4 linked regions of the Drosophila melanogaster genome follow. The protein of the gene in region 2 interacts with the protein of the main gene of each other region in a pairwise test. Each region holds a gene or a part of one and is shown on either strand. Other genes may lie near its edges.

Evidence for each region.
Region 1: the proteins of CG17237 (region 2) and ebd2 interact in a two-hybrid assay, tested with the Drosophila melanogaster proteins (one large-scale study listed by BioGRID).
Region 3: the proteins of CG17237 (region 2) and ND-B14.5A interact in a two-hybrid assay, tested with the Drosophila melanogaster proteins (one large-scale study listed by BioGRID).
Region 4: the proteins of CG17237 (region 2) and CG5191 interact in a two-hybrid assay, tested with the Drosophila melanogaster proteins (one large-scale study listed by BioGRID).

Annotation. Positions count from the first base shown.
Region 1 is NT_037436.4:21,344,240-21,351,051, forward strand, and holds ebd2 (earthbound 2), read right to left. Parts: upstream 5,050-6,812; 5' UTR 4,803-5,049; intron 2,831-4,802; exon of another isoform or gene 2,799-2,830; intron 2,716-2,798; 5' UTR 2,516-2,715; coding exon 2,450-2,515; intron 1,837-2,449; coding exon 799-1,836; 3' UTR 529-798; downstream 1-528. Other genes in the region: CG32436 (uncharacterized protein), read left to right, coding at 1-423, 5,776-6,022, 6,100-6,223, 6,310-6,812.
Region 2 is NT_033779.5:2,287,985-2,291,198, forward strand, and holds CG17237 (uncharacterized protein), read right to left. Parts: upstream 1,433-3,214; 5' UTR 1,224-1,432; coding exon 645-1,223; 3' UTR 519-644; downstream 1-518. Other genes in the region: robl22E, read right to left, coding at 2,345-2,638.
Region 3 is NC_004354.4:2,170,801-2,173,991, reverse strand, and holds ND-B14.5A (NADH dehydrogenase (ubiquinone) B14.5 A subunit), read right to left. Parts: upstream 1,467-3,191; 5' UTR 1,350-1,466; coding exon 1,287-1,349; intron 1,187-1,286; coding exon 938-1,186; 3' UTR 560-937; downstream 1-559. Other genes in the region: Cyp4d14 (cytochrome P450 4d14), read left to right, coding at 1-495; CG3630 (uncharacterized protein), read right to left, coding at 2,064-2,837, 2,907-3,191.
Region 4 is NT_033777.3:20,558,922-20,563,865, reverse strand, and holds the start of CG5191 (uncharacterized protein), read right to left. Parts: upstream 3,002-4,944; 5' UTR 2,568-3,001; coding exon 2,567-2,567; exon of another isoform or gene 2,510-2,566; coding exon 2,455-2,509; intron 1,381-2,454; exon of another isoform or gene 1,223-1,380; coding exon of another isoform or gene 1-1,222. Other genes in the region: CG10877 (uncharacterized protein), read left to right, coding at 1-1,222; CG15922 (uncharacterized protein), read left to right, coding at 3,819-3,968, 4,030-4,083; CG5180 (uncharacterized protein), read right to left, coding at 4,279-4,605, 4,670-4,944.

The sequences.
Region 1 (6,812 bases), on a different chromosome or scaffold from region 2:
TGTCAGAAAAAGCCACCCAACTCCACGATCTCCCAAGTGCTAACCATCGAGGATGAGCTGCGTCGCATCCACCACAAGGCGGAGGAATCCCGCTTCACAAAGCCCTATAAAAAGAAATGTGACCTCTACGACGATTTAACCATGTGCATCGTGCCACAACGAACTCCAGCGGAGCTAAAGACCCATGCCGAGATGCGAGAGCGAATTCTGGCCGCGCGCAAGGACTTTGGACTCGTCGAGCACGACGCCAGGGTCGATAGGCCATGTCCCAAAGATCTCGTCGTCCTCAACAGTCCCATGGACATGGGCGAGGAGGAACAACAGGCGGAGGAGGGCGAGGAAGAGGAGGAGGGCGAGGTCAAGCCACAACTAGCCACTCCAGAATGCAGTTCTGATATGATAATTATTCCGGACAAACGCATGGTATGTTTAGATATAGCTTATAAACTTGGTATAGACAATATTTCTCGATTCGTATAAACTACGTATCCCAAATTACCACCATTTCCAAATTATCTGCGGATTATTAAATTTTAACATGATCATAATAAGCAATTCTGGTTTATTAACCTTTTAATCAATCAAATCGAATTTGATTTAAACTAAATTATGAAGTAGATCTCTTATTGTTGTTGTTTTAAGAATTAATCTTAATAAAAGTCGAAGGCCTTAAGTACTTTTTTGGTGAAATGAACTCATTTAAGTTCATAACAAAACGATTTGTTGATTATAAATAACAGTCGACTACGCTGAGGCATAAGTTTAGACTAGCTTTAACCTTTTGATAAATTGATGTTTTTACTCGATCAATTCGATGTCATCGATATCGGCGTAAATACTTCCCGGTGGCAGTTCCGAAAGAGCGATTTCTCCTGGATCGTCTTGCCCATCTCCATCGGTAGTCGCCAGCGACAGGTTATGATAAGCTCCAGAAACAGCCTGTTGCTGCATGTGCACTCCCAGCTGGGAGATAAGTTCCAATGCCTGTACATCCGAGTTCATCAGAGCGAACTGGTGGATAATGGCTAGATGCGGAAAAACCCCATTCAGAAGAGTACTGGTTCCAGCGTTAATCTGATCATCCGGGTTTTCCTGGTCGCCATGTGCCTGCAGAGGTATTTCCCCCTCTGCAGCATCTGGTGTGCTGGATGGTGAGGACATCATGGTGGGCTCACATGTTACCAGCTCCACTTCATTATCCCCCTCTGGATGATCGGACATGATACTGTTTTCGCTGGAGAGATTGACAAAATCTGCCATAACAGCTGCTTTTGAGATTGCTTCGCCTGGATTATCCAGCTCCCGTTGCATGAAGTTCGGCAGTGCATGCTTAAACTCCACAATGATGTCTTCGACAGGCAGGTCCTGGTTCAAGGGATTTTCGCCCTGGTAGCCCAATTCATCGGCCTCGTACTTGTACTTGTTGCGGAATCGGCTTAGCCATCGATAGGATGGTCTGAAGGATGGCAGGTTCAACACAGCTGCCATCCGGATGGCGGTTTCCTTCAGTTTTTGGTTCCTTATGCTGATGTTCAACTGCATTTGGATGCACCTTTCCACCCACTCGTGTAGTAGGAAGCTGATGGCACTCATTTCGAACTTGCGGCGCTTGCGCGTCATCTCTTCGATTATAATGGAGGCATCTGCCTCGCTTAAGGTGGCCAACTGCTGCAGCAGATCCTTTTTCTTATCCAAGATTCTACGTATTTGGGTGGCGCAGCAGTGGAACATCTTGGCCAGACTGTTCCTAGAGATGTTGGTCTCGTCATAGTAACGGATTACGGCAATCTTTTCGTAGAATGTCAGGATGTTACGCTCATTGCGACGGGATTTGATCTAAAATATAGAGAGGGAAGAGTATAAGATTAACCTAAGATTAGTATTAAATATATTTTAAGCAATTTAATAAATTATTAGATATCTGCAACTATTAGGGTACAAGCCACATTTGTTGACCACCTCTTATATCCTGTCGAAAATTTCCATGCAGAAGTGTTACTGGGCGGATAAGTAATTTTTTCTCTCAGTGTCGTATATATATATATACGTATATTTCTTTTCCAATAAGCTCTATAGAATTTGTACATTTTTATAGATAATATTATTGTTGTATATGAACATAGTGCGAATTTGGCATTACAATGAAAACAGAGGCCTATACGAACTGCAACACTAAGCTAGCCTTAAGGGATTAACGGCCTCCGTTTCGATCATGCAAAGGGTGTGCATGTAAAGGACCTTGGTTGCAAGCCACGCAGCTCAAGGGTAAATGAATGTACGATATGTGTGCGGTATACATGTACATATGTATGCATATGCTTGTGTACACGTGTTTAGTGTAACTGCCGCGTGTCCACTCGAGACACGTTATAAAATCCACCCTCAGCGGGTCGCTTAAGGGCCAAGTTAACAGACATATCTGGTCCCTTGTCCCTTTGCGACTACTTACCCCTTTGGTGTTGTTGTTGTTGTTGCGCCGCAACGTTGTTGTTGGCAGGGCGGCAATAGCAGCCATTTCAATAGTTGTGTTAAGTCAATTGCAACTAGGTTTCTGCTCTTTCCGTTCTCCTTCTTTTCCTTCTCCACTTCTTCTTTTCCGATAACTGCGCAGCAGCTTCTTGCGCTCTTACGGCTGTAGTCGTTCCGCTCTCGCGCCACTTAGATCATGCGTCAGAGGGAGATAGAGATGTGTTCGTGCGAGACTCCTTTTTGAAGCTGTTACAGAGAAAACGTAATAAAACAGAAATAAAAGCAATATTAATACTGTTGATGCAAATGGCTAAGCGTTTGTTAGTCACTTTTTACGAAAGTTGGCACGGCACGTTCTCAAATTCGCTTTGCCTCTGTATTAGCTTTTGTTGTTGCGCCTCTGACATTTTTACAATTACTGAGTAATAACACACTTGTGTGCCCTGTTTCTGTTTCTTGGTTCCGCTCTTCGTTTCTCTGCGCCTGTGTGTGTGTGCGTTCAGTGCGCGCTCCGTATGAAATAAAAACGGTTCACTATGCTCAATCCCTTTTGCATGGTGTTTGCTGTTGTAGCAACGCAGCTGTTACTTTTGTACAGTGCAGGTCAAGTTACTAGCGTACTTCACTAGAAAGGGTATTAAACCACTAGACAATGCTTAGATGATTTGATTGTAGGAAGAGATTAGAGCTGATTCTGGCAAACCAGGGAAGCAAGCAGAATATTTTGGGTTTCATAAGTAATTATAGTTGGCGAAAACAAAACAATATATACAATTTCATATTTGTCATATTAATAACAAATGCAGTTATCAACTGCAGAAAGGCTTAATTCTAGTAATAAAACATGGCAGTTTTTTTATGAATTAATATTAAGGCTTTCAAATATTCAATTACAGTCCTTATCCTGCAAATACCCCAAATACTTTGGGAACCCTGGTAACATCGACTACTTTTAAGGCGTTAATTGTTAATTTGCTGATCTTATGTATCTAGTATATATGTACATATGTATACATGTATAAATACATGTCTGCACCTAAAAAGTGAAACTCTCTATTTGCCCGCTGTTATGTGCGTTGTTGGTCTATTGCATCGGCAGTGGGCATGGTATGCAAAAGCAGTGCGGTTGCAGTCGCTTCGCTCTTGTGTCATATGCGTTTGCGTTTCGCCGCGTTTGTTGTTTGTTATGTATCAATTTTTGTTGTCGGTGGAAGGAGCAGGAGCGTGGCGATGACAGGAGGGGGTGGCAAGGCTATATGCTGGGTTACCGATTAAAGTCCGATTCCTCGTCGGATTGCCCGCCGCAAAAACCTCGCTCTATCTTGGCTAATTACCTTTGCGTCACAGATAAGAGCCTGTCTACTTTTACTCTTCCAACGATTCGTTTGGTGGCCGAAGTGATATAAGCTCGCTCTAAAGTCTTTGGGGCGTTCATAGCTAGCTTCTTATCGGTCCAGATCGTTGTTAGACAACAGAGAAATTCCCTATTATTCGTTCATTTAAACTAACTGTCTAAAAAGGTATAGTTATTGTATGTTTTAGGCACTAAAAGAACATCAATTCTGTTCAGCATTATTTTTGTTAGCTATATACTAGCTATTAAAAAGGTCCTTGAAATAAAACTATTAAATGAAGTTTACTCTTTTGAAGTTTTCTCTGTATATGCAGACAAGCTCTGTTTTTCGAGGTGCCAGACCGCTGCTTACAAAACACTTGGCTGTCCATCCCCATATGCATGTGTATCTCAATTTCGCTGGGCGGCTGCACCTCGCAAATACCAAACTTAAGTTGAGTTTTAAGCCATCTCGAAGTTTGCTCTTGCAGCCTCAGCATCATTGATGAAAGGGCTGCCTTAAAGTGGAATACTTCAGCAGTTCCTAGTCTTTCTTTGAATTAGGTCTCTGGATGAAATTAATAACTTATGGTCATTTTCTTGTATTTCACTGACATTTAATTATATATTAAGAATATTCGTTTGCATAAGGTATATGATAACTCAAAAAAACATGTCCTTTGGATCCCACTACATGAATAAAATAAGCATTTGTCTTCTCAAAGTATTGTTCTTAAAATAAAATATAATTAAGTGGACATCCCACCACACCTGCCTTGCGAATGATCATGTGTCTGAAGTCCCCGTACGCGGAACACACCGAGCCCCATCGTAACCCCGCCTAGTTTGACATTTTGCCAGCTAGCTCGCCCATGGAAAGAGGGTTGCGTTGTTGGAATTGGAACCGACTTGTACTGTTGGCAAGTGCGCCTTGGTATTGGTGTTAGTATTGGTATTGACGTGGTCGTATGCTATAACAGTGCGATACTGCGGCGCTCACCTGGTTCACCTGGTCGTCGATTTGGATGCCTGTTGTTTCTGTTTTTGCTGCAGCACGCTACTTACTAGATGACTTGTTTGTTCTGCAGCCGAGGCAGCTTCGTATTTGCTCGGGGTCCGGGTTTTTGGTCTCGGGCTAGTCGGTTTTTGGTCTGGTTGGGTTTTTGGCTTTTGGACGACCGAACGAACGAGAGCGATAAGATTCCGTGATGTGGCACTAAGCGCTGTTCGTTGTTTACTGCTCTGTGCATGGGACGCCTCTGTTGTTTGGTGCCCGTCATCGTGGCCAGCCAGCCATAGAGGCACACTCACCAACACAGACGCACTGCGAACCCATACATATATAGCGCATGCCATCGTATACCACATATAGCGCGGCGACATCAGGTCGTTATAGTCAGTCTAGTTGGCATTTCGTGCTTACCTTATGCCGCTAACTAACTTCTTGATGAGCGCAAAAAACAGCGGAGGAGAAAAAACAGGCCTCCCGTAAATACCATCCATACCATACCTTGCCATACAACACAATACTGAAATGCCATACCCAGACCAAGACCAAGGCAAAGACCAACGGGGCGTCGGGCATCGGTGGCGTATGCGTGCTATTTTCAGCCGCATTAAAAGCTTATGGCCATGGCCAGGAAAACCGAGTCGCCGAGTGAAAGCACAGAGCTTGCACAGAGCCAAGCGTTGATAACTGGCCATATGTTACCCAATCCATCGCCAGCCAAGACTATGAATTCACTGAATATTTCAATTGGCTGGACATATCCTTACGCAATTTGGGTTACACTAAGTGCGCCATTTGTTGACCACACATACAGAAATTATTTGGATATGGTTGTAATGTATTTTAGCTTATTTTTATTTTATTCATGTATATCGGTTGCAATTATAAATTTAATTTACCGACCTCATTGAATATTAATATAATCTTAAAAAAAAGAAATGATATATTTATACAACCTGCGCAGTTGGAGCTAAAGCGTCCCAAGAGTCGCATATACCTAAACGAAACTGAAGTTGGACCCTTGGAGGAGCTCCCCTTTTCATCTTACAATCCGCGAATCCTGCAAGAAGGCTTAGAAGGAGAAAACCTCAAGACCTTCGATATCATTGAGGGCTGCAGTCCACAGGATTTGTGGACCTGGAATGTGGGCTACCAGAAGAGAGAGGAGCATATGGATCAGGAGTTCATATCCGCCTCCCTGCCGAAATATGGTGTGTAGTTAGCGAATAGAACTATCTTTTTTCCAAGAGATTTGCATTCCTAATCTAGGCTTTTCAAAATTTCACAGAAAACGACGGCGAACTTACGCTCTATAATATACCACAACAGCTGGAAAAGACGTTTACTGCTGAGATTGTGTTTGGGAATCGGAACATCTATCCTGAACCAAAGAAGGAGCCCAACCGTTTGCAGTGAGTAATCTGATTTCTTTGCTAGTAATGCTTAGTTACTAATACCCTCCAATAAAATATATAACTCCTCCTTACATTAAATCCAGGTACTATTATCGGCCTAGTGAAATCGGTGCCATTATAGTCGCTTTCGTAGAGACCTTTCGTTTGAATCCCGATTTCTGGACGGGATCTACAATGGATGGGATTCTAAAGCGCGGAGTGAAATTGACCAAAAAGAGCGCCGACCTAAACTACAAGTCAGACGTGAATGATTTCGATATAATCCAACAGGTTGCGGAACGAGACGCCGCCGTTGAGATTAAGATACACTTCTCGGGACTTTTGAAAAACGAACCAAATATGTACAAAGCACTTTCCCTATTCTTCTCCAAATACAATGCCTGCATCTTTACGTCCCGGGATCTCTTCCTGCTGATCTGGAAGCGCTGCTTAAACTCGTACTATATCTTCGATCCCAATGGACGTGATGAAAACTGCGAACGGAATTTCGAGGAGGGAAAGTGCTCACTGATGGCCACTCGCTATACGGAGCACTTGGTCCATTTGATCACCAAGTTTAGCGATCTGCAGCCGCAGGATGAATTCA
Region 2 (3,214 bases):
ATACTAGTGCTCCTATTTCCAATCTTCCCCACCGAATCGCTGACCACAGCTGGAGGCATCATCACGCATTAGCATTAGGCACTTTCCATGTTTTGGGGCAGCGCTTTGAAATTATTTGCAATCCATTGCACTTGTTCTGGGCGGCCAGCGTTTCCGATTCCGAATCCCACTACCAAATGGATGATGAACTCAGCTGTCCAGCTGCCTTTTTGGGTCATTCATTTCCCTGCAGAGTACTGGGTGTGGTGAACAATTAATGATGCCATATGTGGGGCACTCTGTATAAATAATGGCACTGAGGGCAGTTTCGATTGATTCACAGATGCCACTCTCCAGTTACATTTTATGAAATAATACCAGCAGAATAGGAAAGAAATCTACCTAATCTGATGATTACCCCTTATCATATATATATGTATATATGTATGTACCTTGCTGCTTATTTTTTCAGACCGCCTGAAAATATGCAATCCTTCTTTGGACTGCATAGCTTTGGAAACATTAAGGTTGCTCTCTTTGGGTTTTTAAACAAACATTTATTTGAAACACATTTTTCACCTGTCTAAATATGGTTTGTTTTCCGGGCTATTCTTCCATTTCCAGCTCCTCTGAATGACTCTCCTTTCCTTTTGATTTCCCCCAAGTTACCCATAGATAATGTCTTGAACCAGCTTCTTGTAGTCGACCAAGCCGTCTTTGTTGATCCTACCCTGGAGCAGCTCGTCCACTTCCATGCTGCCCATGCACTCCCCGGTCTTGGTTAGAATGCGCCGGAGTCTGATGGCGGGAATCCAACCGGACTTATCCGTATCAAAGACCCTTAGACTGGATACGAACTGGTCCGCCTCGATCTGTTTTTTCTTGGGAGACAACATGCCGCCGTGCTTGCCAAGACTGGAGTAGATGCCCATGACCTCATCGAAGCATATGCGCTGCATGGTGGAGGCCTCGTACTGGCGGACATGTTTGCTGACCATCGCCTCCGTGGGAGTGGCGCCCATCGCACGCAGACAGTGGCCCAGGTGCCGGATGGATATCTTATTGTCGCCGCGAGTGTCGTGCCCCAGAAAAATCGCATGCATCTCCATGATGCGGCTTTTCTCTGGCTTTGGGTTCGGAGGAGGAGCTGTCATGTCGCCTCGCCGCTTCTGATTGCAGTCCGGTGTGGTCGATGATGGACGGATTGATGACGGGTGGAGTTGATTGCCTTTCCTGGACATCATTGGATCGGTTGTACGAGTAACGTTCACGGTTTATGGATTACGGATTTCGGGATGGACGTGTGCAGCCAACAATCTATGTTATGTTTGCTGTTAAGTGACACACATGCTTTCGGGAAAATGGAAAACAATGATTGGAAGACACAGAAATATGATTACGCCGGACATGCTGACAGGTGAAAGACGACTGGCTTGATTCGGATTTAATTTACAATTGTCAAAAGGAAATTTTATAAAGAAAACATGATCCTAGGATCCAATCCAAGGTAATACAACTATAAATAAGAACAGGTTTATAAAAAAAATCAATTAACATCTCTAACAGTAAGGAAACAGGAAAAGCAGCTGCAGAAAATAGCTACATCGATGTAGATCATGGTAAAGTGCATTTAGTCATTAGGCTAATGAAGTTAAGGCTCTAGGATCGAGGTGAAAAATAACTTATCCACTTTTCTGCCCCCCTTTTGCGGTGTCTCGAATTGATGGCTGCGACAGTAGTGCTCTATATCCTGCCACAACTGTTCATGAAGTTATCTCGAGTGAATAGTTTCGTCCTGCACCGGTGGATAGATGGATTGGCATCGATGTCCTGGCCTCCCGAGAGGCGCCCGTGTGACTTTACCAAGTTATCTGCTTGGTTTTTGCCTCGCCCACTGCTCATAATGCACTTTGCATGTAAAATATTTAATTAAATGAAAAATAGCAAAGCCCAGAGGAGGAACCTCCACTTCGGTGGCCGTGGCATCCGTATCCCTACATGCTCGCATCCTGGCGAGGCCGCAAAAAAGTTTATTTGTTTCGTGGCTGCCTCAGTCAGTCTTCATTTATTGTAAATGAGTTTGCCCGGACAGGATGCCGGGTTTCGTGGGGTAAAGGATCCATGCATATCGTATATGTATGCATGCGGGCCAAAGGATGCATATCGAATAAGAGTGCTCCGCACGCAAGTGACATTCCAATTCAATTGCGATTCCCAATGCAAATAATTTGCAACTGAATGCTATTAATGACGAAATGCTGGTGTGCGAAATCGAGACTATGCCGAGTATTTTAATAACATTTACTGAACACTCTGCCTGAAAATAATTGCCAGCGGAATGAGCTTGGGCCTGGAATATTGTGCTCTAGTCGCACGGGCTCTGGATCACCATGATGAAGTAATCTTCCTGCGGGCACAGCATCACCTCATTCTGCTCAGTCCGCAGCCGCAGGAAGGTGAATTCGTTGGTGGCGTCCAGATCCAGGACCACCTGGCGAGCCTTCTCCCGCACCGTTTGCATCAGTGCCGCGTAGTGGAGTGTCAGAGTGTAGTCCAGGGTCGTTTTGATCGGAATGCCGTCGTTGTCCACCACAACTATGCCGGTGACGTTCTTCATGGACTGAAAGCGCTTCAATAGTTCCTCCACTTCGGCGGACATCCTTGCGTCTATTCGATTACCTTATTAGAGAAATTTCGATGCAAAGAAGGTGTTCGTTCTGCTACTACAATACAACCATACATGCAAATGAATGAAAGCTCCGGGCATACTTGAAGTAACTCACTCACTTCACTAAATATATTTTCAAATTTAATCAGACTACTCGTTAGCATAGTTCACAATAGTTTAATACTAAGAAATATTCCCCATATTACAACTAACTTTGCATATTTCCATTTGATATCCGTATAATTGAGGCTGCTTTGTCATCTGTCGGGTTCATTTCATTTGCCAGTTTAACGAGTCGATACAAGTTTTATGATGTTCGGCATAATCCGGGAGATTCTGGCGCTGTTGTGTCCGTAAATAAGCATTCAAGTTGGCAACAATGCCGGATGTCGGACTGCAAAAGTTTCGCTTTTGTGGATGGCAGAAGTACGGAAAATTAATTGAATGCTGTTGATGCTGCCAGTGCCCCTGCCTTGGCTCCTGATCCGGATTCCGATTCCGATTCTGTTCCTGTTCTGGCTCCTGCTCTCCGGACCACTCGAAATGCAGATGCAGATGAAATGTTTG
Region 3 (3,191 bases), on a different chromosome or scaffold from region 2:
GAGGTCAGAGATGTTATCGGTGATGACAAGTCGGCTCCAGTTACTATGAAGCTACTCGGCGAGCTCAAGTACTTAGAGTGCGTGATAAAGGAGTCTCTGCGCCTGTTTCCCTCGGTGCCGATCATTGGACGCTACATTTCCCAGGACACCGTACTCGACGGCAAATTGATACCCGCCGACTCGAATGTGATCATTCTTATTTACCATGCTCAGCGCGATCCAGACTACTTCCCTGATCCGGAGAAGTTCATCCCTGATCGTTTCAGCATGGAGCGCAAGGGCGAGATCAGTCCATTCGCCTATACTCCCTTCTCAGCGGGTCCGAGAAACTGCATCGGCCAAAAGTTCGCAATGCTCGAGATGAAGAGCACCATCAGCAAAATGGTGAGACACTTTGAGTTGCTGCCTCTGGGCGAAGAAGTCCAGCCCGTACTGAACGTTATCCTGCGCTCGACCACCGGAATCAATTGTGGCCTCAAGCCGCGCGTCTATTAGGTGTTCCTGGATTGTGATTTTTTTTTTTTAACTAGTTGTAAGTGATGGGCTCTGTAAATATTTGAATAAAATACTTGTACATAATGATATCCAGTGATGGATGGTGTTTTTTCCGGCGAGTGTGATTTGGAAATAATGTGGACTGGTAAGGGGTTCTCACTTGGCCCCCCATAACTGGACATACCAATGCCCGCATTCCTGCTTCAATTTGATTCTATATTAGCTTTAACCGGCTCGTACTACAACTCAAAAAAAAATGGATGGTGATTTTTCCCGGAAGTGGGGTTTCGAAACATTGTGGGCTGGTAAGGGGCCTTTCACTTGGCCCTTCATCACTGAACATACCAATGCACGCATTTCTGCTTCAATTTGATTCTATATTAGCTTTAACCGGCTCGTACTACAACTCAAAAAAAGGCGATTCCCGCGGTGATGCGGCCCATTAATCCCAGGCATAGACCTTGCCGGGAGTGGGCAGCTTGGAAGACGGGGCCTTCGCCGCTTCCCCCTCTGCCGCCAGCTGCTTCTGCTGCTCCACCAGGTCGATGGGCGGCAGAACCTCGCGACGTCCATCCCGCTGGCAGTAGTAGTTGGCCGAGAGTAGATGCGATGGACCGTCAGGGATTTCCGGCTGTGGCTGGGTGCGATCGGCCAGTCCGTCCTCGAAGCGCAGGGCCAGGTTGTGCTCCCGCTGTAATTGGCGTCCAGATTAATCAGAGATTCACATTTTCCGTCTTATATAACTGAGAACCGAGTTCTCTGCGGTCGCTGTCCAAATGTCGGATACTCACACCCAGGAGGAAGGCCCGAATGCGCTGGATTAAAGGCGACACATCACGGCGCAGGGCAGACATTTTCCGTTTGTATTATTCTTCAAATTGAGAAACCACTGAATATTTTGGTTTTATATTTATTTGTGAGGTCCAGCCCTGTCGTCCAATCGATATCAGCTGCTTGAAATTACGAAGTATCGTTAATCGATACCCACGCCTCGTCCTCTTAACTTTGCTTTGCTGCCCTGCAATTGATATACTTATCGATAACTATCGCGAAGAAAAGTTGATATAGTAACGGCCGAATTTTTAATTAAAGATTAAAAGCAGAGAACAACTACGAGAAAGAGCACATAAAACTGCCTAGGCAATGAGTCATTTAGTTAGTTATGAAACCAGCACTTCCAATCGTTTTGAAACTAGAAAAACAGGACTTGGTTATATTGTGTCTATGTACGTGTATTTATTTTATTAGTATTTTATTGCCTTGCACGTTCCCAACTTTTGTGAGTGGGAAACCGTAGTTCATTTCCATAGAGTAATGGTTAACAAATTGAGGAAACTGGCTCCTTTGGTCGTCCATTAATAATATACAAGTAATAATAATAAATAAAAAGTTACTCTCGATTCTGTCTTCAGTGTTGTGTTGCTCTAATTGTAAATTAAACTAAGTACGCCGTAAACTAAACTACTGCAATTTAAAGCTGCCGCTTTAGTAGTTGCGAGAGTTCCTTTTAAACGATTTAAGGGGATGTTCCTTCCTTCCTTCCCAGCTAACAAGCTCCCTGTTCCGCCTTAAGCGGGCGTCGACTCTGGTTGGGATTGGGACTGGTCTGGCGAGGACTCGCTGGCCGTTCCGGGACTGGGCGCCAGCTGCTCCACGCTGACGGTGCGTACAAACTCGGCGGTGGCTTCAATCACAATTGTGGGTAAGTCATCAGCAGGTCCTGCCGGTGCAACTGCAGCGGGTGCTTCCTCCGCCTGCGGTTCGCTGGTGGTTGGTGTGGTTTCTTCTGTGGATGGTGCTTCTGTGACTATCACAGCCACGGGCGCCTGTTCGGTCACCTCTGGCTTGGCTGGCTCGATCTCAACGGTACTCGAAGCAGGAGCTGTTGCCGGTGTGGGCTCTGTAGACGGAGCTGGAACTGCTGCCATAGTGGACTCTGCCACAGGAGCAGGTTCTGCAGAAGTTGTGGGCCCAGCCACAGGCGTGACTTCTGCAGCAGGCGCAGGAACAGGTACAGGAGCCTTGGGTGCCGGCGACGCTGACTTCGACTTGGCGGACTTGCCCACAGCCGGCGAGGGAGTCCTCGACTTCAGTTTTTGTTCGTGAGCACTGCGATCCATCAGCACCGAGGTGGACTGCGGAGGCGCTGGACTAGCCGCCCTCTTGATGTCTTCAATCTTGGCCTCCATCTCACTGCGTATTTCCTTGATGGGCTTCAGCAGAAAGACGGGAACGTCATCGTCCCTCCGCTGGTACAACATCTCGCCCTCGAAGTCTACCAACTTGTGTTTGCGGGCCCGCAGCAGGATGCCCACCACCTTGTCGGATATGTAGTTATAGATCTGTAGAGTGGAAGTGACCAGTTTAGAGGGCTTTTCGAAAAATATACCAGCTGTAAACAGGACACTCACATTAAAAAGTTCGCCGAAGGGGATCACACGCATAGTGGGCTCGTCCTTGACGTCGTAGCCCTCCGAATTGATGATCTGGCAGAGCTCCAGCATCTCCTTCATCACGTGGATGTTGGCCTTCTGGCCACGCATCTCTGTAAGGCTGCCGGCCAGTGGTTTTCCATACTGATCCTTCGAGAAAGTGGGTTTCGGCGAGGCGGCGCGTCCGTCCTGGGAAAATGGATTCAGCAGCTGCGACTGCTTGTGCTGCGTGGCCTGGTTGTTGAACATGGCCACCTTGGAGGA
Region 4 (4,944 bases), on a different chromosome or scaffold from region 2:
CGATAATGCTAATGCCAGCGATGTGGACGAACGCCACCCGCTGCATGGTATCCGGATTTTGGACCTATCGCGCATCATCGCCGGCCCCTATTGCACCATGGTTCTGGCGGATCTCGGCGCGGAAGTTATCAAGGTGGAGCGTCCACACTTTGGCGATGAGGCGCGTAAGTGGGGACCACCCTTTCTAAAGAACAGCAACGATGCCGCCTACTTCCTGGCTCCCAATCGCAATAAACGGAGCATCTGCATCGATATCAAGCGCGGCACGCAACTCCTTCATCGCCTGGCCGAGATTAGCGACGTGCTGGTGGAGAATTATGTGCCCGGCACCTTGGAGCGTTACGGCCTGGGCTACGAGCAGTTGCGTAAGGTGAATCCCAAACTGATCTATTGCTCAATGACGGGTTATGGCTCTGTGGGACCGTATGCCAAGCGACCCGGCTACGATGTGATTGCCTCCTCGGTTGGAGGACTGATGCACATCACCGGCGAGCGGGATGGACCGCCCAGCAAGGTGGGCGTGGCTGTGACGGATATGTCCACAGGACTGTACGCCCATGGAGCAATTTTGGCAGCCCTCTATCAAAGGACCCGCACGCAACGTGGCCAGAAGATCGAAGTCGACCTGTTGTCCACCTGCTGCTCCCTGCTGCTCAACGTGGGTAGCAACTACCTGAATTCCGGGGTCGAAGCAGGAAGGATGGGCACCGCACACTCCAGCATCGTTCCGTATCAGAGCTTCAAGACGAAGGACGGCTATCTCACCCTGGGCACTGGCAGTGATGTTCAGTTTGTGGACCTGTGTCGCCGCCTAAAAGTGGAACATTTGGCGCAGAATCCCAAATTCAAGACCAACAAGGATCGTGTGACCAATCGAGTGGAGCTGCTGGGAATCCTAGAGCAAATGCTATCCGAGGACACCTCGCGCAACTGGATGAAACTTTTCGAGGGCGCCTCCTTTCCCGTGGGACCTGTTAACTCCATTCCCGAGGTCTTCGAGGACGAGCATATAAAAGCCATTGGCCTGGTGAAAAGCCTGCGGCATCCCAAGGACGAAACAGTCAAGGTGGTTGGTCCTCCTGTGACCTTCAGCGAAGCGCGAAACGATGCCCGGACAGCTCCTCCGATTCTTGGCCAGCACACGGATGAAGTGCTGGGCGAACTACTGGGTTACGGGCCGGATGAGCTGGCCAAGCTGAAGAAGGATAACATTATTCAGTAACCCGATTGGGATTTCGGACAGTCTAAAGTGATTTGAATTCCTAAATCCTCTGATATATACTGCTTTATATGGTCTTTTGCGACCAATATTTTAGTGATAATCATGCATTTACCATTAGACCGACTAAAGGCCTTAAAAAATAAATGACAATTTCTCATAAAAATGCAACGAATAACATGAAGAGGCTGGACTAACGATCTGATAGCTAAGTAATACAAAGTCGTTAGCGGAATTTCATTAGAACTCGATTTGCTAACTTCTACGACGGGGTCAAAAGACCATGAAAAAGGGCAAAGATTATTTTTCGTATAATCTCGTATGTGTCGTAAATATCATGAAGTAAATGACTGTAAACATTTTGATTTTTACCTAGTTAAGGTACGATGTATACGCAACCAAACAAATACGGCTAGAAAGCTATTTCCTGGTCGGGGTGAAATATACTGGATTAAACGTCAACACTTAAAGCTATAATCAAAAACACGTTCGTTAAATATCGTCAATTAGTATCTCACAAACTCAAAATGCGATATCTCTATAGAAATCGAAATTAGGCTAAGCTGAAATTCCGAAACGAATGTTACATGGTATAACTACTACGACTGAAAATGGGCTTAAGAACAATATGCGCGCCTTTAGTTTAAGGCAGTAGTTTAAACAATGCATGAGCCATTATGAAACGGTCTTATAAACGGTCTTCAAAGGGTAATGTTCAGATTTCAGCGATATACATAGAAAGATTACATGAAACCAAGCTCCATGGATATGAATAATATATTGCTTAAGCAGAATTATAGACTTTTGATATCATTTCGAAAAATAGAATAGGTAAATACCGGCCAAGCAAATTTAGACTGCGTCAATACGTGAAAACATTCTTTCCACAGCTTCCATCAAGTAGATCATAATATCATAAGATCTAACTGATTATCAAATATTGACCTTAATGTCGATCGAGCTATATGTTGTCTACACAAGAAGTCCTAACGCACTCTACACTTTAAGTCCTTGATGCAATATTCTCCAATGATTCTGCAGTTGTCCATTGACCTCTTTTCTTTGTGACAAGAAGGTGATAGTCGTTTTCTTCTATGGATTTCTATTTCTAATAATAATTTCTATTCCCTGGCCTTGAACGTAATCGCTTGATTGGCCTGTTCCGACAGGCGGAGTAGTAGCCGTGCAGGATGAGTGATTGGGGCGGGGTTCTTGCGCACCGGCGATTCGCTTACCTGAGCCACAGCTCCTCCAGGTGCAAACGGATGACGGTCACTATCGATTTCAGCACTGGCAAAAAGGTCGGATTTAGGGGCAGGTGGCACAACTATGGGTGGGAGAACTCACTTGCAAATCAACCAAAAATACAAATATGTAGGTCTGTATGTGTATGTGTATAAACTGTCCAATGGAGCGTCTGCTCGCCAGGAACCCAAAACTAAAACTGAAACTACAACTCAAATTGCAGGTGCTGTCCAAAATGGAATAGCAACAACAACGGCAGCGACGTCGACGTCTATAACAGAATTTGTTTGTTTTGGCCCACTGTTGTCGTTGTTGTTGTTACTGCCGCTGCCGTTGTTGTTTGTGTGCGCAAAGTGCATAGACCGCATCCGCGTCTTAGCCTCCAGCTTGGCCCCAAAGCCAGCGCCCCATCCGATCCCGCCCACGCCCCTCCGGCGACGCGGGTGTGGATTTCGCACTTAATGGGTTGAGTTGGGAATATGGGAAAAGGTTAGTTGGCGACGCAGTGGGCTATCAATTAACAGTTAGTTAACTGCCTCTTCGCCTTGCCTGCAAAGTGTGACCAGAACAGGGATTGAGACGGGAGGTTACGGTCATACTTAATTTCTAATTTAATTCATAATTTGAAATAAAATTGGTTTTATTGTGACGATAAATTTATAGCTTATTTTACGGTTTTTAAAACAGATTAAGTTAAAATTTCAGATTTCAGCTTATAATTATTTCATACATATTTTCTAATTTTTCCGAATTAGTTTGTCCACTAAGAACTTTAAGCACCTAAAATTATTTTTCATCTTTCTGTTATTTGAATTCAAAGCTTAGACAATTTTAACTTGTACGTAAAGTAGTATAATTACACATTTTTGTTTTTTAACTATTATAATCTTATGTTAGTTATAAAAGCGAAGGACCTTACCAGTTACTTCAGGCCTTCTATAATCACAAAAAGTCTTTAAAGAATTTCGCAGCAACTAATATACCCTACGAGAAGTGAAGTTCCCCTTTACAATGCCATTGATCTACTCTAACCACCTCCACCGCATTTGTTATTAAAACCAGCCACCGCAACAAACTAATGACAGATGCTTATCTGCCCAAGCAATCGAAGTCCCAGACAAAGAATTGCGAGACGTTTAGTTTCCCATTATTATCCCCGAAAACGTTGGACTTTGGACCAAGTTGGGGGAGATAGAAACTTTATTCAAAACTAGCCGCCCGTTTTGGGGCAGCGTTATAGGTTGGTATTTTTCGTTGATAAGATTAAACAAACATCGCAATGCGGTCACATCGTCATTGTTGATTTGTGATAGCTGTTAAATAATAATAATTCCGTTTTACGAATTTTGTAAAGATGAGCAAGCAGCCCTCGTTCGTGTCGCGCAACCTGGTGGCCGTCGTGATGATCCCCAGTCTGGTGGGGATCCATCTGGGCTGGAGCTACATGCAGAGCAACCGAAAACTGGTCACGGAGGCGGAACAGATCGAGATGCCGCCGGTCACGGTATGTTAGTCCTAATTCTTAAGGCGATCACCTCAAGACAGCAGCTCCTCTTTTTGTCCAGTTTGCCAGGTTTGTGTGGAACAAGCTAACGGGCGCAGGAAGTTCGACGGAATGACAAACCCTCTGGTGATGAGCTTAAGACATACAATCTATTTATTGTATAGAATAATTAAAACTACATGCAAACTGTATGGTACAATCGGCTGCTGCCCGGGCGACACATGTTGGCCGGGCTGCAGGTTGGGACACAGACAAAATGGAGATATAAAGCCAGAGACTACACATACTTAGTCTAGGGGGACAAGAGAGATTACTGCGTGAGGGCCGAGTGAACGGTGAGGTTGCCCAGCTGTGCGTTGAATAGAACGTCGCTGATCAGTTTCTCGGCCACGATCCGCTGCGTCGGGTTGATGGAGCGCAGTTTGCTCGCCACATTCACGCCAATGGCATCGTACTCGTCGTCTTGCCGGTGCGATGTGCTCGTAGCCGCTGTGGTGGTATAGGCAGTGGTGCCGGCATTGCCAAACAATGGCTGATAGTGATCGCGGCCTATCTGGATGGTGGGAACGCCCTGATGTTGGCCATTCGTCTGCTGCAGGTGGAGCTGCTGCTGGTGGTGCTCCAGATGATTGACCGCCTGCGTGGGGAGAGGAGGTGATTGAAGACCCTAAGGAACTCTTCACTGCTTTGGAGCTACTCACTTGTTGTATCTCGCGCTGGGAGTTGGAGTCTAGGGAGGTGATCTCTAAGACCTTCACGGCATGTCCCTGAGCCGCCGCCGCCGCAATGGAGGTCTGGGCTGCTGCATGGGCTACCATTTGCTGGTGTGCTTGGGCTGCGGCTGCCGCTGCTTCGGCCGCCTGGTGCTCCTCGCTCTTGACAAGGGTCACACATTCCGCGGGCGTCACCGAAATGGTGCTCAGAGTGGCGCCCTGACTGCTGACGACCACATTGTTGGCCGTCGCCGCGACTTCTT